Tamandua tetradactyla: one gene and its partners. The protein of the gene in region 3 purifies or fractionates together with the protein of the main gene of each other region. This does not show direct contact. Links are inferred from orthologs where the notes say so. Each region holds a gene or a part of one and is shown on either strand. Other genes may lie near its edges.

Region 1 (7,783 bases), on a different chromosome or scaffold from region 3:
TAAGCAGACTTATTCTTGTACACGAAGGGCAGCATTATTCTTGTTATGTGAAGATAATCCCCGTCATCCACATGCTGGATTACTGGCTGCTTTCAAGAACTGTCCCAGTTAGTCTACAACAATAGAACTATTTTTTCACTTAGGTTTGTTTTCTAGGGTTGTACTATCTTAGAAATAACAACAACTGTATATCCCATCAGACTTTATCCAGGCTTTTTCACTGACCTCAAAATTTTCTATTGCAGGCTTTTTCTGACCCCCATCCTGCCCCCACTCCCACCCAGATGACTTAGGACAACCTCCTACTCACTGCAGCAAGACAAGAGTGAAATCGCCCCAAATCAGCTAATTTAACTGTTTACCTTTTCCAATGTTTTCTCCATTTTTATGGCTGAATTCATAATACCCTAAAAAGTACAGAAAGCTCTTACAACAAAATAAAAAGGAAAATGAGATTTTTTTAGTTTGTTTGGTTTTTTCTCTTTACAAGAGATTTTTAAATTCACTAAATAATCTTTATTTGCATGACCAACCAAAAGTCATAACTGCACAGTATTTATATTCTTTTAAAAAAAATTGATGGACTTACAAAGGCAGAGACATCACAAAAAATGATCAAGACTTTATTTTTTCATTAATTCAACACTGCTAAAATGCTGGAGACAAAAAGATAATTCTTATCTTGAAATGAAAGGGAAAAGATAAAATATGGAAGAGCAAAAGAGAACAAAGAACAAAACAACTGAGCACAATTCTAGACTATTTAGCATAAAGTAAGTTATAATATAGTTGAGGCTAAGGAAAATTACAAAAACTGAACACAAGTTAGCTCTGATGAGCCTCCTGAAAGCCAAAGTATAAAAAGAAGCAGGATGACTTACAAAACAATCATGCTCTAATAAAAAGCAGTTATTTGCTTAAAACAAAGAAAAAGTCCTAGCACTACACTCTTTAGATGTTGTCTCTAAGGTCCCTATTTTATAAGAAGTAAATTAGAAACAGTATCTTGGACAGCAATGGAACAAGATTTTTTCCGTGTTGTCCCTTCTTATATACCCAATCCTAGGTAAAAATCAAGGTGCAAAATATTAATAGTTCTGTGAAGAAATGTTGACAAGAAGCTAAAGTAACATAATGCAAAAAGTATAATGATTTCAAGTGATGGGTTTATTTCTGTCATTGGGTTTATTCTAGGTTTCTACAAATGTAATATTTTGTTTCCCTGCTGGACTCTAAGCTTCTCAAGGCTTATGTTGTCTGCTTCCATTTAATAATATGTCATGCAGATATTATTTGTATTGCTAGTCTTCCCTGCTACACTGTAAATGCAATGAGGACAGGGACAATATGTCTTGATCAGGACTATATCCCCAGCTCCGAGCAAAGAATCACTCCATAGTATTTGCTGAATGGATTAAAAAAAGAAAACACAACCAAGAAGTATGTAAGCAGAGGGGTAGGTCTTAAAATGGCAGTGATTTGGGGTGGTAAAACTGGTTCCAACAAAAGCTGGTTGACCTTAAGTAAGTTAATTTCTCTGACATACAATGTTTTCATCTGTAAAATAGGAAAAGTTAGTATATCATCTATTTCAGAGTTATTACAAGCATTAAATACGTAAATAAAATATGTAAGGTATTATAAGCATTAAATATGTAAATAAAAGATGTAAAAAAAAAAGCTCAATAAATATTAATTCCTGTACTTTCTCTCAAGACCTCCATCTTAAAATCATCAGTACCTTCCAAGAATAATTTTTTTTCAATAAAAGCCCAATACAGCACATTCGCACTTTTCTCTGGGAAAGAAAACAAAAAAAAACAAAATTTTATCTCTTTAATCTTTAAAATGGGAGGAGGGTGGAACAACTTCTGGTTATTTTCAAAATATTACAAAAGCAAGAACAATGTAAAGAATTAATCTTGAAACAACTACTGCTAAGAAATAGGGGGTTGGGGGAACCGTCAATTTTTTTTTTAAAGGATGAAAAGCTATTAATACAATTTAACACTTTTAGAAAAATATTTTGCAATTGCTTCTAAGTTTAAGCCTTACCCTTTCCTTTATAAGTGGAACATTAAGTACATTCACTCCACCCTAAGTCGTTCCTTCGTGACATGACAACTTCCCCGACTCCACTCGTCCCTCAGTTTTCTCCTCACATTCTGAGCTTAATCTTATACTTCGCTGTTTCCCCCGTTTCACCACTTACATACGATATGAACACACGAAGTTCTGTAATTCCTATAATTACCACACCCCTGTCAGCCGCTTCAGGCCCATGTTGTTATGACATTTGTAAACTGCAGTCCCGCTCACCCCACCCCAACCTCCGGCTCCGGCTATAACTTGTGAATTCCCAAGATGGTCCCTTCCTGTCTCGGTGAGGATTTTTACACGCCACCCCGACACTTTCCTGCCTCTGTCACAGTACTCTGCGGCGCCCACCCCCGCCCCTCGCCGGCTCGCGCCCAGCCGCGGCGCAAGCTCCGCGCGCGCCTACTCCCCGCCCCGCTGACTCTGCGCCCCGCAGTCCCCGTGCCGCTTCCAGCTCCGCGGCCGCGCCGCCCCGCCTCGACCGGCGCTCCTGACGGCGATCACACTAGCACTCCCCACCCCCACCCTCCCCTCAGCCGGCCGCGCGGCCGTTAGGACAGCCGGGCTCGTGACGCACGGACACGCCAGGAGTGCCCGGCCTCAGAGACCCGAGCTCGAGACCCAGCCGGCGCCCGACCTCGTCCCCGGGCCTCACCCGGGTCCCTACGAGAACTGCCCGGGTTCGCCTGCGGGAGGGGGAGGGGCCGGGACTACAGGGTCCCCGCACTCACCAGGCTCAAGGCAACCGATCCCGGTGCCAGTGGTGGAGCCGCACGCTCGCCGGCCGTGCCTCTCCTGCGCAACCCTGAGGAGCTGGTCTCGCGCCTCAGCGGTGCTCACCAGGCCTCTCTCTCCGCCGCCGCGCACCGAGGAGCAAGACCCTGATCAGCCGGCGTTCGCAGCGCGCTTGCGTGAAGGGACCAGCCCACGCGCCTGCGCGGGTCCCACCACTTCCACCGCTGCAGAGGCTGCCGGGAGATGTAGTCTGCCTAAGATCTTACTTGACCCACCACGCCATTAGTCCCGAATCAGTACGGAGTTGGGGGTCCGGGAAGGATCTCGCTGAGGACGAGGTTTGTAGTCAATGGAAAAGGTTGGAGAATCGTAGAAGAGTGACAGTGAGACGGTACTTCTTACGCGGAATTGCAAAATCATGTTTACAAACCTGTCTTCACTAAGCTCTTCGAAGGGCGGATAGAGCCCCACTCACTCCTTTATATCTAGCCTCCAACATGGTAGATACCTAATACATGTTTACTGTACGAATGATGGAATGATTGAAGCACGGGGGAGTATTTTAAAAATATTAAAAGTGAGTGGCCTCACGTCTAAGAAGGCGTTCGCTTGCTGCACGTTTGCAGGAATTGTGGATTCCATTTTTAATTCTCTTCCATCCTCTTTACCTGATAATGTATGAATAAATGATTTGTTTTTTAAATTAAGAAACTAAGTGAAACAAAACACTGGTTTTACTCTCACTAAGTACTCTCAAGCGATAATTTGAGGCAAATAATTATTAGTTAAATGTGGGGAAGCAGTGGCTCCAAAAGAAAAAATGAAGCCACCTCAGCAGAGGTACGAAATAGAAAGTCTCACAGATGACGTGGTTTATCAAATCAATTTTATGGAAACGCCGAGAAACTAAGGAAAAGAGATGGATGGTGTAGGTTAGCACACTTATAAGTGGTAGAGGGTGGGCACTGGGGAAACCTGCACTATCTGCGGTTCGTATGTCCAGGACAACGTCCGTATCTCCCGGATCTGTCTCTGCCACGTGAGCCTTCCCACTGACAATATATTTACGTAGATAAGAACTGAAGTTTGAACAAGGGAGCTGGGGCAAGACAACGTGTTCTATGGGAGACACTTAGGGATTTGTATGCCTGCTCAAACTAGGGTAAGAGCAGATCACCTTATTCCAGTCAGATACTTGGATTGTTCAAAGGTGGACTTCAGTCTTTGTGAAGGCTAGTTCATTTCCAGTTCGCTCTTACACCCAGCTATGGTATAGCTCCCAAGTGTTGCAACCAAACGTCTGGGGTATTACCAGGGCCTCTCCTTGGCCCCACATACCCACCTCTTTAAAACAGCTCAAAACTCAGTTTTTTGGTCACTTCTTTCAAAATTAGTAGGCACATCAAGTGGAAAAGAGGTGGCAAATGTCAGACACACCTCTCATGACTTCCCTTTACTTCAGATTTTGGACCCACAATTTTTTACATTAGTAGCTTTTCAGTGCCTTTATGTTTTTTCTTTTAAACTTTTTTTTTAATATAACATGCATACAAACGAAAGAAAAGCAATGATTTTCAAAGTACGCTTCAACAAGTAGTTACAGAACAAATTTCAGTGTTTGTTATGGTTTACCATTCCACTATTTCAGATTTTTCCTTCTAGCAGCTCCAAAACACTGGAAGCTAGAAGAAACCACCCCCTTTTCTTTCTTTTTTTTTTTTTTTTTTGTGAAAAATAACATATAAACAAAAAAGCAATAAATTTCAAAGTACGTTGCAACAGTTAGTCGTAGAACAAATTTCAGAGTGTGGTATGGGTTACAATATCGCAATTTTAGGTTTTTACTGCTAGCTGCTCTAAGATACTGGAGACTAAAAGAAATAACAATATTTTAATTCAGCAATCATACTCATTGGTTAAACCTGACCTCTGTATAACTCCATCATCACCTTTGACCTATCTCCCACTCCTTAGGGATATTTGGGCTATGCCCATTCTAACTTTTTCATGTTGGAAGGGGCTGTCAATAATATGGGATGGGGGATGGAACTAGTTGATGTTCTGGAGATGCTGGCCCCTCTGCATATCAGGACTTATCTTGTCCAGGGACCTATCTGGAAGTTGTAGGTTTCTGGAAAGTTACCCTAGTGCTTGGAAGCTTTGTAGAATCTTATATAATGCCCTAGGTATTCTTTAGGATTGCTGGAATGTTTTGGGTTGGGGGTTGGCAAGGTATGGTAGGCAGCAATGTCTAAACTGAAGTTTGCATAAGAGTGGCCTCCAGAAGTAGGTCACTATTTGAACTCTCTCAGCCACTCATACCTTATTTGTTCCACTTCTTTTCCCTTTTTTGGTCAGGATGGCATTGTTGATCCCACAATACCACGGCCAGACTCATGCTGGCAGGAAGACTTTCACCCCTGGATGTCATGTCCCACTTGGGGGCAGGGTGGGGGATCAATGATTTCACTTGCAGAGTTAGGCTTAGAGAGAGAAAGGTCACATCTAAGCAACAAAACACCTTTGGAGGTGACTCTTAGGCATACCTATAGATAGGTTAAGTTTCTCCACTACATACATAAGTTTCACAAGAGCAAGCCTCAAGATCAAGGGCTTGGCCTATTGATTTGGGTGTCCCTACTGTTTGACACAGTATCAGGGGTTTTCCTGGTGGTAAAGTTTAATAGTTTCATATTTTTTCTCTCATCCCTCAGGGGACTTTGCCAATACTTTTGATCATCTGCTTAATATACTCTGGGATGTATCCAGGCATTACATTAAGCTATACAGGATTAAAGGCCCTCATTCTTATCCTGGGCTCCCTCTGTTGGATTGTTTAAATGATCTATCCAGACAGGTTGAGTTAGATTATGTGCTTCGGAAAATTTAGGTTCTGGACAAAATAAACCTTTCTTCGTTTGGTCTCAAAGAGTAGATGAGGTTCTAAAGTATAGACAATGTCTTCCTTACCCCTGTATTCTGAATTACCTTAATCCTGACCTGATCGGCTTCATTCTAATCTCTAAATACCAGGTTATACATATATAAAACAGCTTCTCAAAATCCAGAAATAGTAATTACCACTCTAGACTAAATGTAACTTCTATAAGAGCTTACAATCTAGACCCCTGTTTCCTTACAAACCTTAATGTTTTTATATTGTGTCCAGTTATTCTCAGTGTTGGTCCAAAACAACAGTATGCTATTGCTAGAAGAATTTCTATATATATTTTAATTTTACAAAAGTATCATACATATATGGTCTTACATAAACTACTATCTCTTGTACTATATCTTTTTGCATTTTGAGAAACTGAAAAATTATAGAACACTTTTGCTATTACAAATAATGCTGCTATGAACATTCTTATACATCCCTACTTATGTACAAGGAAAGTACCAGATCCTAGAATATTACGTCTTTAACTTTATTAGATGTGTTATACAGAATTCTGAGGTGGTCCCCAATTACTCCAGCTCCTGGTGTTGCCTTTTATAATCCTCAGGTTTTGAGTGAGAACCAGACAAAGATGATGGGATGTCACTCCTGTGATTACATTTCACTGTGTAACACTTTGCCTTAGCAGATTGCTTGAGACTTTCCTGCTGGCCTTAAAGAAACAATCTGCACTGCCATGGAGAAGACCACATAGCAGGGACCCAGGTCACTGGGTCCTCAGGGAAGCCTCCAGCTGGCAACCAGTAAGAAGCTGGAGACCTCATTCATACAACCACAAGGAAATGAGTTCCGCAAACAACCTGAGCGCTTGAAAGCAGATTCTTCACTGGTCAAGCCTTCAGATGAAAACACAATCAAGCCATCACTTTGACTGCAACCTTGAGGGACCCTCAGCAGAGGACTCAGCTAAGCTGCATATGGACTTCTGATATACAAAAACTGTGAAATAATAAATGTGTTTAAGCCACTAAATTTGTGGCAGTTTGATACACAGCAGTAGAAAACAAATGCATTAGGTATTGCTGGATTATTTCACAGTGTGGTTGTACCAATTTATACTCCCACAAGCAATATATGATTGTCTATGATTGTCTTTTCTACACATTCTTGCTGACACTAGCAAATGTCTATTTTTATTTTTGCCAATCTGATGGCAGAATAAATAATACATTTGTGTTATTACTATAACATAAAAACATGAAAAATAGTTGCTTCCTTTAAATTATGTGCTACTTTGCTATATGAATGCTATTTAAAAAATAGCAATAGGACTAGTTAAATGTAGTAACTAGAAGGGCTAATTAAGTAAATAATATATGTGACAAAAATATAACAATTTTTATAGTTTGTCCTATTGTATAGCAATTTAATTCTTTATTGCTTATTTAAATTTTGTAGGTATATTATTATGTATTCTTAATATATATAAGTGTAATACTTTTAAAAAGAGTGTAAATATAATAGAGCTAATTTAACAGATATTACCTATATTTAATAAAAAATAACAATGGCATGTTTCTATCCCATGAGGCAGTGGGATATTTTTGCTCTTTCTGTTTTCTTTTCCATTAATACTTCTCTGAACTGCTCAGAGCCTTTAGGACATCATTATTTTCTTTTATGTATCAGTAAAACTGAATACAGTCAAATGAAAAATTTTGACTTGCAGCTCTTCTCTAATGGCTACATTGTACTGATTCTGATGTCAAGACAGCAAGCTAAATATGCTCACCACAAAGGTGTTAGAACACAGAATACTTAGGATTTTACTTACTTATACAGCAGATTTATAAACTTGAAGGAATTAGTCTCCAGCTCTTCAAAATGTTCAGCCACTTTGTATGTAAAAGCTTGCTTTATCAAACCCGATGTTTGTCAATCAGATCCTTTACATCTATAAATTATAAATTAATGTAGCCTATCTGTGTCTAAAATTCCCATCACTCTGAAGGACACTGAATGTCAACCTCTCTTCCCCAGGGAAAATGATTT
Region 2 (6,952 bases), on a different chromosome or scaffold from region 3:
CAATGGCTGACTCTCCATCTTGGGCTCATCCTGGGTGTGCCCCTGAGAGAGATTTGGGGCTTCAGAAATGATCATACGCTCAGGGCTCCCTGGGCTTTCCCAGAGATTAAGGGCCCTCACAGTGCTTGGGCACTCCCAGGCACTCAGAGCCCAGGATGTGCCCGGCCCTTCCCAGCCACTCAGGATCCTGGAGGTACTTGGGCCCTCCCAGCCATTCAGGCCACGGGAATTGCATGGGGCTTCCCAGTCACCTAGGACATGGGTGGGGTTTCGACCCTCCCAGTCACTCAAGTTTAGATTTTCCCAGGGCCTCGGGGCCTGCCAATCATGCAGGGCCAACAACTGGCCCCTGCTGTCCTTTCCCCCATCCAGATGCTTCTTCTTCCGTGTGACTTTGCCAGGGCGACGCTCCTCGGTGGTCTTCGAGATCCCCTCAGTGGTGGCCGTTGCCTGGGGGGCAGCTGCTGTAGCCATCAGGATGGTGGATGCTGCCTTTGATGCCTGTGAGGCATGGGAGGTGGGCTGTGGATCCCAGCAGACCGCAGGCAGGGCCTCAGCGCAGGCAAATGGATCCTGCAGAGCAAGTGGCAGTGACTTCGGCGTCTTTGAGGTGGCAGACGGACCCTTAAAGGCATTAGACGAGGCAAGCTGGACCTGGGAGGTAGCGGGAAAGACCCTTGAGGTGGCAGTAAAAGTCTCCGATGTGACAGGCAAGTTTTTCCAGGCAGTTGGCAGGTGTGCCCGGGTAGCAGACGCTACCCGTGGAGCACAAAAAGTGGCAGCAAAGATCATGCGGTCCTTAGAAGGAGCCTTGCGCTCCTTGGAAGAGGTCCTGCGTTCCTTTGAGGAACCCCTACGTTCTATCGAAGAGGCCCTGGATTCACCTGATGGGGGAGTCATCAGTGATTTAGCGGAACCCACGTGAAAATTTGCCGCCGCTAGGGAAGCTGCGGGCTGGGCCTGGAGGGCCCCGTGTGGGGCTTGCCAGGAGGGCTGGAGCTGCAACGCGGGCAGCTCCGCTTGCGGGACCGAGGGCTGGGCCTGCTGGGCGGGTAGCTGGATTTGCAGGGCCTTCTGGGAAGGCGGGGCCCCCTGAAAGGGCGGCTCCAGTTGGACCAGCGGAGGGCCCTGTCGCTGGGCCTCCTGCGCGGGTAGGGGTTGCCAGTAGTGCCCTGGACCCTTCGGGACCTGCCAGGCGAGGGCTTGGGCCTGCTGCGCCTCCTGGAACTCCATCGACGTCGGCAGCTCGTGCGGCACCGGGGCTTGGCCTTTGGGGGCCTGCCAGATGATGGGCGGGCAGTGTGCGGCCTGCGGGGCCCGCGGCGGGACCTGGGGCGTCTGCGGACCCGCGGGAGCCCTCGCGGACACCTGTGCTGCCGGAGGGACCGCCTGCACCTGCGGGACCGCCTGCACCTGCGGGACCGCCTGCACCTGCGGGGCCGACTGCACCTGCGGGGCCGACTGCACCTGCGGCGTGGGCAGCCGAGCCTGCGGCGCCTGGCGCAGGGGCGGCGGGGGCGGCAGGGCCTGCCAGAGCGGCGGCGGGGTGGCCAGGACCTGCGGGGCTGGCCGGATAGGCGGCGGCGCCTGGCGGATCAGCGGCGGGGCCTGGCGGATCGGAGGCGGGGCCTGGCGCACCGGCGGCGGGCCAGGTCGGATGGGCGGCGGGCCGGGTCGGATGGGCGGCGGACCCTGGCGTACGGGCGGCGGGGCCTGCCAGGCGATTGTCGGGCCCTGCCAGGTGACCTGTGTGGCCTGCCATGCCAGAGGCGTGGCTTGCCAGCCTTGTGGTGGGGCCTGCCACCCCGGCGAGGTGGCCTGCCAGCCTGGTGGTGTGGCCAGCTGCGCCTGCGGGGCCTGCGGACCCTGGGGAACCTGCGGAGGAGCCCTTATAACCTGAGACTGGATTTGCAGGATCAGAGGCTGAGCCTGTGGAGCCCAGGATGCCAGAGGCTGCGCAGGTGGGGCCGCCGGCTGTGCCATCGGGGCTCCCGAAGCTGAAGCTTGGGTGATCGGTGCTCTCGAACCTGGAGGATGGATCATTAGCACGCCGGGACCTGGAGGCTTGGCCATCGGGGCTACCGGAGGAGGCGGCTGGGCCATCAGGGCTCCCGGAGGAGGAGGAGGCTGGACCATCAGTACTCCCGGCGTCAAAGGCTGTGCCATCAGGACTCCAGGAGCTGGAGGCTGGGCCATCGGTGTCCCCGAAGGGGGAGGATGGGCCATCGGTGTCCCCGGAGGGGGAGGGTGAGCCATCGGTGTCCCCGGAGGGGGAGGATGGGCCATCGGTGTCCCCGGAGGGGGAGGATGGGCCATCGGGGTCCCCGGAGGGGGAGGGTGCACCATTGGGGTCCCCGGAGGGGGTGGGTGTACCATTGGGGTCCCTGGAGGGGGAGGGTGGGCCATTGGAGTCCCCGGAGGAGGAGGATGGGCCATGGGGGTTCCCGCAGCCGAAGGATGGACCATCAGTACTCCCGGAGCAGGAGGCTGAGCCATCGGGGCTCCAGGAGGAGGAGGATGGACCATCAGGACTCCGGGAGTCGGAGGCTTGCCCATCGGGCCTCCCAGAGGTGGACCCTGGACCATTGGGCCCCCTAGGTTCGGAGGCTGGGCCAGTGCAGCCACTGGGGCAGGCGGTTGCCCCTGCGGGCCCTCCCAGGCAGGCTGAGGTGCCTGCCAAGCGGCCAGTGAAGCCTGCAAGTCAATCGGAGGTGGATCCCAAGGGACTGGTGGAGCCCGAGAAGAGGCGGGCGGGGCCCGCATCAGAACCGTAGGGCGGCTATAGACCGGAGGCTTGGGGGCCTCCGCCGGGGGACTCGAATCACCCAGATTCTTACTTAGCTGCGACATGTCCCTTTGCTCTGACAGCTGGTGGGCCTTTTCCTCCGACAGCTGCTGGGCCTTTTCCTCCAGAGAGAAGAGAATGCCTACGTGGCTGCTCAGAGGCTCCCTCCCCGCTGAATGCTGAATAGGAAGTGAGTGCTGCTAGCTCTGCAGCTTTCCGCAGTAAGGAGGAGGGGTGAAGGGGGCTCAATCCCGCCCCCTTCCCCGCCCCCGACCACCACAAGTGGATAGAGCATAGGGGCGTCTACCAGAAGTCCTGGCTGACACAAGATCCCTTCTCACTCTGTCCAGTCCCCAAATGCAGCCTGCTCAGACTCTTCATGCATGGGTTTTCACAAGGGAGTGACAGGAACAGATATAGGTTTTGGAAGAATCACTGTTGTGCATTATGGAGGGGAGACAGACCACCGGCATGTAAGGCATCCAGAAGGGAAAGATGGTGTGGTCTGAGCTCAGATAGGAGTTGGAGGATGAAAGAAGTGTGTGTATGTAGGAGAGATTTAGGAGGTGTAATACATAGCTATTACAATTTGACTTAAGAGTAAAAGAGATGGAGAAGGCACACATATTTCTGTCCTGGGGAAGTGGAAGTTGTTGGTGCCATTTCCTCTCTTAGGGACACAGTGGGAGGCACATGAAGAGATGATGAATAGTTTTGATTCGGACGTAGGGCATTTGCTGTGCAGTGGGACTGCCAAGGAGAGATGCCCTGTAGACACTCTCCTGTAACAGCTTGGGGTTCAGAAGACGTCCGAAGTAGAAGTCAAGGTCCAGTACTCATTATGAGATTAAAGCTGTGGGGGAAAAAAAAAATGTGTTTACCGAAGAGTATTGAGTGAAAGGTACAGGACACCAAGGAGCTCCTGAAAGTATCTTTACGAATACAAGCCTTTTAGAGACATTCAGAGAAAAAAGGATCACAAGGAGTAGAGAGTGAAAAAAAGAAATCCCAGAAAGTAAGACATGCCAGAAATCAATGGAAGAGAGCATTTTACTATGAGGAAAACTTCCTTTGGGATGGCTGAAATGAGGGAATAGAGTTTTGTTTTGTTTTGTCCATCAGTTGCAGAGAAGGAAAGAAATTGTGATAAGGAAAACAAAAAATGTACTAGAAAATAATAAAATGGGTGAAAAATAATCCAAGATCGCTATATAGGAAAAACAGATGAACAAAATACAAAATTTCTGGGAAATCTACTGATGAAAAAATAAGTTTAAAAATAGGACAGATGATGCCCCAGAACATATCAAGATTATTTGATAGCCCTATTCTGTTTTAGGCTGAAAAGAAGAGACAGTCAGTTTATTCGGGCAACTTTCTGGAAATACACCACATATCAAGGATGTTTGATTTCGAAGAGGCTGTTCACAGCCTAGGGGAAGATTCCAGTGATAAAAAGCATGGAAGATGCCACAAGGGGGCAGAAAAGGATGATGAAGGCCATTTGCCGATCCTCCTAAGGAATCTTCCTTAACCAGTGTTCCTCAAATCTGGGGTAATTTACATACCCCCAGAGAAGGCATTTAAATACTATCAAGGTTCTATATTGCCTTAATTGAGAGAAGAAAAGGTGTGGGGGGAGGGATTCTGGTGACTTTTGGGGTATTGAAGGAATGAGAATCCAGGGTTGTTATCCCCTAGGAACATTTTTTTTCTCCAAGACACACAGCTCATTCTGGGTGTCTGGTGATATGTCACTGCTGTGTATATCCAGAGAAGGCCATTCACTACTTGGACGCATGGTCTGGCATGCAGAAAGCTAATTCTACTGAGTGGAGGCTGCTATGTTTGCAGTTCCTAGGTCTCTCCCTTGTGCTAACATGACACAGTCATATAGGACTTCACCATTTCATGGGGTTTAGAAATACTTCAGAAGGGACAACTTACACACATAACCCTTATGTTCCCCTACGCCAACTCTGCCACGTGAAAGTTTCTGACTGTGGATGGCTTCTGGAAGTCAACCCATTTTGCAGCCTATGATATTTGTACTCTCGTTAAATGTACCGTTTCTTCCTCTAATTCAAAAGTATAAACTCATCAAAGATTGAGTTATTCCAGTAATTCCGTCCTTTTCAGGATTATGAAAGTATTGCCTCTCAGACACCCATGCTGTGGGTCATTCCGCACAATAAATGTTGCCTTTAGGGCTTGGTTCTCCTCACTGATTTTGGAGCTGAATGCTGCATTAAGCAGCCAAAAAGTTAGTAACTGGCATCGTGAAGGGGGAAAAACCGTGTAGGCATCATTACAGATGGAAGGTAATCAAGTCATCCAACAGCCCCTTTGCAACTCCTTGGTAACATTCTTTAAATAGGAGAGAAAATTTGGGACATAAGATCCAGTGATTCTGTTCAAAACAGTAAAAGAGGTAAATTGAGTTTATGTTCCCCCTGGTAAACATATCTGCCTATTTTGAGAAACAGTTTGCTAAAATGATTGTCTCAATCTAGTGACCCAAAATATATCTACCCTGAACATAAAATATACCTGAGGAACTAAGGGAAATATAGCTCCTCTGTGAAAACTGATTGCCCTAATAGCAGCAAAATCCAAATCTGCCTTGGGACCAGTGGGGAATTTAGACCACAACCATAAATAGGTTTCCAAAAATTCCCTTCTTGTTGTGGTGTCTTCTGGCTTACTAAAGCCTCCTCAGTACATCTCAACCAGGTGTCAAATTTTCTTTTACTTGCTTCTCCATGAAACAGCTTGAAAACTCAAGGTGACAAGAAGAAGATCACAAATTCAAAACATCCACTGAATATTGGTCTAGTTAGAAAAGATTTGCAGGTCTTTCATAAATATATAATGAAAGGTTAAAATAAGTCATTGATAATATTGGGGGAAGGGAACCTAAGGATAAAAAATTTTTGTCCCAAGTTTATATAGAATCTGTATACTTTTTGTTCCGGCTTGCCGCAACAAGACAACTACTATAGAAGCTGGGCTTATTTGTTTATTCTTGTATCCCAGCTCATTTGAGCAGTCAGTAAGGATACGCTGAATGAAAGTGTAACATTAGCGCCGGAAGTGCATATTTTTTTCTCTGCTTTAGCTGTTAAACTTGGTGTTATTTCCAGATAAATAATCAGTTAGCATTTTCACAAACTCCAGGATCATTTATGAAACACACTTTATTAAGCCTTCACCATGTAGCCAGTTCTATGCTATGTGCAGAGCTACAGAGAAAAATGTGTCACAGAGTCTCATACTCATTTAGGGATATTTATATGCTTTAGTGCAGTAAAATATTGTTGCAATACTAAAAATTCATATTGGTCATAGATGATGCAAACAACTGAGTACTCACTTCTTCTTGAAGTGTGGGGGATTGGGATGCTGGCTGTGGCAAAGAAAATGAAAACAAATGAATCAGAAGCTGTGAAATATTCATGGTTGTTCTCCAAATAGACAAGTTGGAAAGGCAGGAAGATCATTAAAAGAAAAAAGCATAGGTCATATCAAGAGTACAGACATTCAAAAGAAGATTTGTAAGGAGCTCACTAAAATAGTATAGCTATTCTTTATTGAATGCTTACTATGTGATAAAATCCTACCCTAAGAGCTTTGTATATTATGTTTATTGATTCTTCACAAAAACCACATGAGTTTGAGCCCATTTTATACATGAGGAGATTGAACCTCAAGAGGTTAAGATCTGGCAATATACAGCAACCTTTATTGGAAGTCTGGTCTATTTTTCCCAAAACCAGCATTATTAACAATTATACCAATACCGCTTAAACCTATTTTTATTTTAAGAATAATTAACACCAGTAAAATGCACAGATCTCAACTGTTCTGTTTGTTTAGCTTTGTGACCCCACGAGCCTATACCAAAACAAGATAAAGAATATTTACTTTATCAAAGAATCTTCCATCATGCCCTTTTCCAGTTAATTCCTCTGCTTCCCAAAGGCTAACATTCTGATTTCTCTTGCCATGATTAATTTTGCCATTTCTTAAAGTTCATATAAATGGAATAAGTACTGTGCATATTATTTATATACTTGGCTTCTGTTTCGGTTTGCTAAAGCTGTTGAAGTGTAATATACCGGAAATGGGTAGACTTTTACATGGGGATTTATTAACTTACAATTTCCA
Region 3 (7,487 bases):
GAAAGTTTTACTAGGACACAGGCATGCCCATTCATTTAAGTGCTGTCTGACTATTTTTGTGCTACAACGGTAGGCTGGGTGGTCATGACAGAGACTGTACGTCCTGTAAAGCCTAAAGTACTTCCTCTCTGGCCTTTTACAGAAAGTTTGCTGACAGCTGGTTGAAACACCCCTTCTCAGGAGATGTGCTCCCATCCACTCTCCCTCTCAGTCACTCACTGCAACTCGGTGATGCACACACGCCCTCATTTATAAATCCTTTCCACAAGCTCACTCCTCTCCTCAGCTGGAAAGTCATTCAAAGACATAAACTATAAAATATAATCTCAGCAACAGAAAATTAAAATAGACACTAAAGATCAACTCAATGGTGCTTCTTGAAGGAGGGCCCATTGGAACCGTGGTAGGGACAATTCTGCCTGGCACAGGACACCGTCACTCCTTGCCCCCTTCCGAGATGCTGTGACAGCCACAGAAATGCTCACGGGCTTGGGGGGGAGGGCTGGGCACCACTGGCCGTGATTACAAACCATCAGTGGGTCCAGCCTACACGCTCCACAGATCAGCAAACTGAGGCCCTGGCAGGTTATGGCTCTGCCCATGACGCAAGGGGTGGGAGGAGTGCCAGGGGGCAGACCTGGACGCCAAGCCTGTGCTCCACGACCTGCGCCCAGGTACACTGGGCTGCTCATTCCGACAGAGTCCATCCAGGCCCACTGAGAAGGTTCTCCACCCATCAGGCCTATTTTCAAGCCAGGGGAGCTGAGGTCTCAATGCGCGGTGCCAGCACAGCAAGGGGGAAAAATTCCTGCCAACAAACTTAATACTGCAGGAAGATGATGACAAAATTCCTATTGATGGGAGAAGATGACAAAATTATTCACAAGTGGGACTATCCACTACTAGTCCAAGAGTTTACTTTTCAGGTGCAAATATCTCTACTAGGAGGGGATTTGTAATATTTTTATTTATTTTTAAACAAAACAGCAGTTATTTTTTTCCCCTCAATTTTCAAAACAAAACCCACAAATACCCCAATCAGGAACTAGCATATCAGCCACTGGGCAAGCCCTGGGAGCAAGGAGAGAAGGCAACAGAGAGCAAAGCTCAGGGCTGAGGAGCTGTGAAGGCAGCAGCTCAGAGAAAAATCACCCATGTGGCCCTCTGCAGAAGCCAGCAGCTGACACCTACAGCAGGTCAACTCTCCAGACCCTGGCTCCAGAATCTTTTCCCCAAATGCGGGAAAGGATCTGGTTTTCCTTTGGGTGTGCAGGGGAGTTCCCAGCTGCCCTGGGGGTTGTCCTGACCTGCATCTAACAACTCTCAACACCCTGGCGGGGAGAGCAGTGGGCAGCAGAAGCAGTGTCAGCTGCGCGCTGGAGCAGCACTCACCAAGAGTTCCGCTCGCGCCTGCTCCCCTTGTGCCCTCCGCCTCTTCTTCAGGTCTTTCACTCTTTTTAGGTGATCCAGTTGGTTCTGGATTTGTTCCTGAGAAAAGCATGACAGTTGGGCAGTACAAGATGAGGCAGTGCTTTACCTCCGCGCCGCTGCTCTGTCACAGATGGACCCCACACTCCTGGTGCTGGGCCTGCCTTTGGACAACATGGCCACCCTCAGTGCAGGGCGCAGGGGCCAGCGCCACCACGCTGCTCCTTGGTCACTTTGTGTCTCACACAGTGGGTCTCCCCCTGCCTCAAGAACACTGCATGGTCTCTGGAAATGCAGCTAGACTAAGGAGTCAAGGCGTAACTTCCACAGGTGAGAAGGTGCAGCAGGGGTGAATTCACCTTCCCACCTACTCAAGGGTTCTGAGCCCAAGTGAATTAATTTAGGTGAAAACACCATAGACGTTAAGTGACTGATCATGCATGAAGTGACAGACTCACATTTTAAAATGCATAATTGCAAGTGTGTTGCTGCATCCCTCATATGTAGAGAAGACGCCACAGCAGCCTGCAGTCCTTGAATGCTACCTTACCACCGTTTGAAGTGTAACGCTTCGTTTCCTTGTTAAGGTTTAGCTGTGTGAGTCTGTTGGCTCAACAGTTGGCAAAGGCCACCCCCACCCCCACCCCCACCCCCACCCCCACCATTTCACTTAATCTTCATGAAAATTGTGCTGTTATTCTCCACGAGTCTCAGAAATGTTAAATGACCTGCTCGAGCAGTCAGGAGCCGTGTTCCTTTCGGTGGAGAGGAAATGCTGACAGAGCTCGGTGTGTGCGCAGCCAGCCAGCGTCTGCGTGGATTTCGCGGAAATCACCCGGGAGGGCAGGGTGCGCGGGGCGGGGGCCGGGGGCGCGCGGATGCGCGGGCCGGGGGGCGCGGGCGCACGCACACCTGGCACTGCCAGGGTGGGGCCCGCGCGGCTGTCTTTGTGCGGACGGTCTCCCCCAAGCCTTCCATGCAGGCCACGGGGGAAGGGGCGGGCTGGGGGGCCTCTGGCTCCCTCGCAGCCACAGGTTTTCCTCCTAAAGCCGGGCGCGGAGGCTCAGAGCGGACAGGGAGGAAATGACGGCTGGGAAGCACGCGTCCGGCTCGGCCATTTTCTGGGCGGAATGAAAGGGAAGCCCCCGGGCGCCCGCGTCCCTTTGTCCAGCCAGGTCCCGAGCCCCCCGCCGGCGCGCTGGGCGCTCACCTTGAAGCCGTCCACCGCCTCCTCGAGCGGCAGCACGCTGTGGCCGCGGTGCTCGCGCGAGCGGTCGCACACCACGCAGATGGGTGTCTGGTCCTGCTCGCAGTACAGTTTCAGCGGCTCGCGGTGCTTCTCGCACCCGCCCATCTCGCCGCCGGGCCCCGACGGCCGCTCGGAGCGCAACTGCCGCACCAGCTGGGTCACGTTGGCCAGGTGCCGGTTGGGCCGCATGTGCCGCTGCGGGAAGGTCTCCCGGCACTGCGGACACGACACATTGGTCTCGGCGGCGCCCCAGCAGCGCGCGAGGCACGCGCAACAGATGTTGTGGCCGCAGTCGAGCATCATGGGCTCGGCGAAGTACTGCAGGCACACGGGGCAGGTGGTCTCCTGCTGCAGGCACTCGGCCACGCTCCCGGAGGCCATGGCGCGCGCCCGCGGGGGCGCCCGGGCATGGGCCCCGCGCTGAGGGCTGCGCTCCCGCGGGCTGGCGGCGCGGGGGCAGCCGAGGGGCCCCGGACGGGCGGCGCCCGCGCGCTGAGGCCTGGACGGCCGGGCCGCTCCGTGCCGCCGCCCCGCCGAGTGGGCCCCACTGGCCTTGGCGGCGCCGCGCGGGCTCGCGGGGGGGTTGGGGGGACGGAGCGGGCCGGGCGACGCGCGCCGAGCGCGCAGGACAACGTGGCCGCGTCCGAGCGGATCCCGGGCCGCCGAGACCCCGCCCGGCGCCGGCGGAAGGGGCGGCTCGGGGGCGGGGCCTGGCCGCGGCCTGCGGCGGGCGCGCGGCCCCGCCAGCCTCGGTTCCGGCCCGTCGTCCCCCGCCCGGCCCGCCGACTGTTACGGCCCCGCTGCCGCGGAGGCCCGGAGCTGCGGCCCGGGCGGGGCTGGCGCGGCAGGGAGCGGCCCCTGCGCAGGCCCTGGCCCTCTCGGCGCGGCGGCGGCCTGCCCGGCCCGGGGGCTGCCCGCCTTTGTGCCCCTTCGCCGCCCGCGCAGGGACGCCGCCTTTGTGTCGGGGGCGCTGCCTGCGGGCCCCCTTCGGCACGCGACGTGGTGCACCCTGTGGAAACACCCCATTCACATTCGGAGGCCCTTGCGACTTTGTTAGAAAAAAGGAAAGTCTATCGTAAGGTATGTCTGCTAAGAAACAAATTAAGCTGAAAGGCAGTAGAGGCTTTTACTTGGGGTTGCAGTTCAGGGAGCCCAGGATCAAGTTTCCACCCAGATCGTGTCCCGTCTTGGCCTAAGGAAGAGAAGAGAAGGCGAGCTGCACGTGGGGCGTTTGGGGCGCTCTTCCCTGCCTCCCTTGGGGCCTCCCTTAGCCGGCCTTGGGGCTTGTTTGCGGTGCCTGCACGGCCTCGAGTTCGCAGACATTGCTGCTCGTGGCGCTGCGCCTTGGGCAGTTTGTGGGTCTGGGTGAGACCTGCAGAGGGGCAACCTGGCTCCGTTTTCAACGTCTTTACCGCAGGAAGCTTTATTTTGTTTTTTTCTCTCCGGCGAGCATTTCCGAAGGGCAGAGACGAGTCACACAAGCCCAGCTCTCCTTCCCTTCTGTGCCCAAGCAAGTCTGTTTGCCCTTCAGATCCCGAGTTCCCTCTGGTGAGATGGGCATGACGAGTACGCTGGCGAGAGGGGAGACTTCATTATACCTCTTTTTTCTTTTGATAACCGTAGGATATTTATCCACTGAAATAGAGTGGTTGTGTTGAGTAGGGCGGAAAAAGTGTCTGCTCCTTACCAAAGCCCGGGACACGGGGAAGCCTGCGGCAGCCCACCCTGGAGTAGCTCACGGCCCTGGAGTAACTCACGGTTCTGAAGTAGCTCACGGTTCTGAAGTAGCTCACCGCCCTGGAGTAGCTCACCATCCATTCTCTTTCCATCAGCCAGTGGACTTAGAGTTATGTTGTGTTACCCTCTCATCCCTGCCTTGTATTTCCTAATTTTCTTTGGAATTTTCTCAGTATTGGCAGACTGTACATAAGCAAGAGGGGCGTCTGCTTCCCCCTTTGCTTTCCAGGATTCTGCCCTGGCCTCCCCTGGTGGGCAGGAGGTCTGCCGAGCTAAGTGAACTTGCCAAACCCAAGTTCACCCCCCACCCCCAAACCACACTCTGACTACAGAACTCTAGTTCCTGGCCCAAATAACCCCAACCCAATTCCAGAAAAATATGGGGTGCTTGGACTAGCCCACATCACAGAGTCTCAGATTCTGGTCTTTCTTTGAAATTGGGTCAAAAATTGACATTTGGAGGAACTGAAGGATGCTTCTCGGGTTTACTCACAAAGGAGTAATAAACATTGTGACTCAATGTACAAATATGAGAGATGGAGATAAGTAGCTGAGGCTGCCCACCATCTCCTTATCTCAGGGATGCCTCGCTGCTGTTTTTGTTTTCCAGAATTTCCAGTGTAACTCCTTAAAATCCCCAGCAGTGGGTGATGGTGAGAAAAGATGGAATAAAATCCTTGAGGAGCTGGGGTGGGGTCAGAGAAGAGGGAAAGGGAAGAGTTCCACTTGGTAATCCCTGTCAGCTCCATTGTTTCTTGAATGCGCAGAACGCCAGGATGCCTGAAAAGTGGCCACCAGGCCTCGGCCACACCTGAGTCAACTTTGTCTCTTTTAGGACAGTGCAGTTTGGACGTTGGGCCAGGCTCCAAGGAGCCCTGGAAGGTTGGCATGTGCACACACACGTGAAGTGTGTTGGGTGGGGCTAGGGCGGGGCTGGCGAATTCAACTCACTGCTCGGGTCCCTGCCTCGGGCAGGTGAGGACACTTGAGAAAGGGCTGTGCCCCGTCTTCCTGAAAGGCATTCCTAACACATTGAATGTGCTTAAATGCTTAGATGAAGGAACAGTGAACAGTCAAAATAATGAGACTAGCCATTAATTTAATGCTTCCACTATCATACTTTTGGCATACATCTCATCGTTGTGAACGTTATTTGTTCAGTTATGAAGTGACAGGTGCAAACTCAAACGCGCTTTGGAAGTAAGAAGATAACTTAAATGAGCAGGTCAGGTCGGGGACAAAATAGGGAAAGCTGGGGACATTGTCTAAATGGAGGACAGCGGTCCCTGGGAATGTAGCCCTGTCCCTTGCCAGTTACGGCCACCGAGGATGCCGTCCAGCATACTGCTAAATGTTTAGTTTTTTTCCCAAGAGAAAGCAGAAATCTAGACTTTCATGTGAAATTTACAGACTTAAGTGTTTGGCAACTTACTAAAAATTTAAAAATCATGCCTGCAAGGTGAAATTGGCCTCCTGGCCTCCAGTGTGGGGCTTCTGGTACAGCTCTTTATTTAAAAAGTGTTTTTCAATCTTGACACAAAATGAACGGGACAGTTGATGACTATTCAATAGCTAATTTCCACTCCTTCCTTAATTTTTCTTTCTCTGTATAGCCATATGCCCAGTTAAAAGATATTTTTCTCTTACTGCTAGTAACATGGTAAATTCATGAAGTCAATGCTACAGTATAAAATCCTGTGCAGATAATTTGCCAGAGGGCACCGTCAGCTCACCCAGCACTTCCTTCCCGCTTTAACGCCATCCTGAGCCTGTGGGTGACTAGGGGACCTAAGTGGAAGTTGTGTGGGAATTCTGAGAAAGCACCTTAAAAGGAAGCCTACTCAGCTGGGAAGTATGCCTTTTTAATGCCCACTCCCTTCCTACTTCTTCCAGCCTGAAATGTGACATGATGGTAGGAGCTACAATAGCCATTTTGGACCATGAGGCAACCTTGAAGATGGAAGCCAGTGCTGAGATAGTGCAGCACAAGTGGAATGAACTTACATTCTTATTGTCTGTAGAGTGCCTGCATCCAAACTTCATGTGCATAAGACAAAATAAAGCAAAACACTTGCTTGTCTTGTTTAAGCTGCTTATTTAGATATACAATGAAATATACATATACAATGAAAGCTAAACCTGAAAAAATAAAATATTATTTTATTAATAAAATATTTTGTTTAAAAATGAGTATGAAATTCCTACCTGCTATCTCTGCTCAACCTACCCACCCCAAGGGTGTCAGTGATTTCTGTTAGTATTGGCCAAATCCAGGAGACATTTCTCAGGCTTCAGCTTTTCCTTGCTTCATTCTCTGATTGATAAGGAGAGATGGCTGAGGGTGTGGGAGTGGTAAAAAGTAACAATGGTGGAATTTCTCAGGGGAGAATAGGAATCAATTCTGCTTGGGAGGGAGGAGTTGGTGTACCTTAGGTATCTTTTGAATTTTAAACCATATGCATGCATGCCTTAGCTATTCAAAATGAATTAAGTTAGAAAAGTAAGGTAAACAAATGAGCTCTCCAGTATTTGAAGCACTCCTGATTTTTGCTCAGGGAAATAGATATTCTATTTTAAATTTCAAACCTTAAAGTTTAGTATAAAGAAAAGTTTTATTTCCTCAAGGAACTTTAATGGTTTTGATTGAGTAAAGAAATGGCCTTTTTTTTTAAAGAGCGAGACAAAGATTAATATCTTTATAAAGAGTTTTATAAATCAATATGGAAGCTCATTAATATTCCAATATAAAAATGAGCAAAGGATAAATGGACAACTCACAAAAGATAAAATACACTGTTCTACTTTGCTAGCTGCCGGAATGCAACACACCAGAGACAGATTGGCTTTTAATAAAGGGATTTATTTTGTTAGTTCTTCAGAGGAAAGGCAGCTAACTTTCCACTGAGGTTCTTTCTTAGGTGGGAAGGCACAGGATGGTCTCTGCTGGCCTTCTCTCCAGGCCTCCGGGTTCCAACAACTTTCCCCTGGGTGATTCCTTTCGGCATCTCCAAAGGCCTGGGCTGAGAGTGCTGAGATGAGGTATGCTGAGCTGCTTGGGCTGTGCTAGTTGAGC

The links.
Region 1: the proteins of TRIM27 (region 3) and KPNA1 purify together in Homo sapiens (co-immunoprecipitation; 3 studies listed by BioGRID and IntAct, with this or other methods). This does not show direct contact. The link is inferred for Tamandua tetradactyla from reciprocal best matches to the Homo sapiens genes TRIM27 and KPNA1.
Region 2: the proteins of TRIM27 (region 3) and MAGEL2 purify together in Homo sapiens (affinity purification with western blotting; 3 studies listed by BioGRID and IntAct, with this or other methods). This does not show direct contact. The link is inferred for Tamandua tetradactyla from reciprocal best matches to the Homo sapiens genes TRIM27 and MAGEL2.

Annotation. Positions count from the first base shown.
Region 1 is NC_135336.1:22,986,978-22,994,760, reverse strand, and holds the start of KPNA1 (importin subunit alpha-5), read right to left. Parts: upstream 3,017-7,783; 5' UTR 2,829-3,016; intron 1-2,828. UniProt on the Homo sapiens protein: Functions in nuclear protein import as an adapter protein for nuclear receptor KPNB1. Binds specifically and directly to substrates containing either a simple or bipartite NLS motif.
Region 2 is NC_135338.1:79,415,941-79,422,892, reverse strand, and holds the start of MAGEL2 (MAGE-like protein 2), read right to left. Parts: upstream 3,021-6,952; 5' UTR 2,851-3,020; coding exon 1-2,850. UniProt on the Homo sapiens protein: Probably enhances ubiquitin ligase activity of RING-type zinc finger-containing E3 ubiquitin-protein ligases, possibly through recruitment and/or stabilization of the Ubl-conjugating enzyme (E2) at the E3:substrate complex.
Region 3 is NC_135331.1:193,511,270-193,518,756, reverse strand, and holds the start of TRIM27 (zinc finger protein RFP), read right to left. Parts: upstream 3,098-7,487; 5' UTR 3,059-3,097; coding exon 2,639-3,058; intron 1,489-2,638; coding exon 1,393-1,488; intron 1-1,392. UniProt on the Homo sapiens protein: E3 ubiquitin-protein ligase that mediates ubiquitination of various substrates and thereby plays a role in diffent processes including proliferation, innate immunity, apoptosis, immune response or autophagy.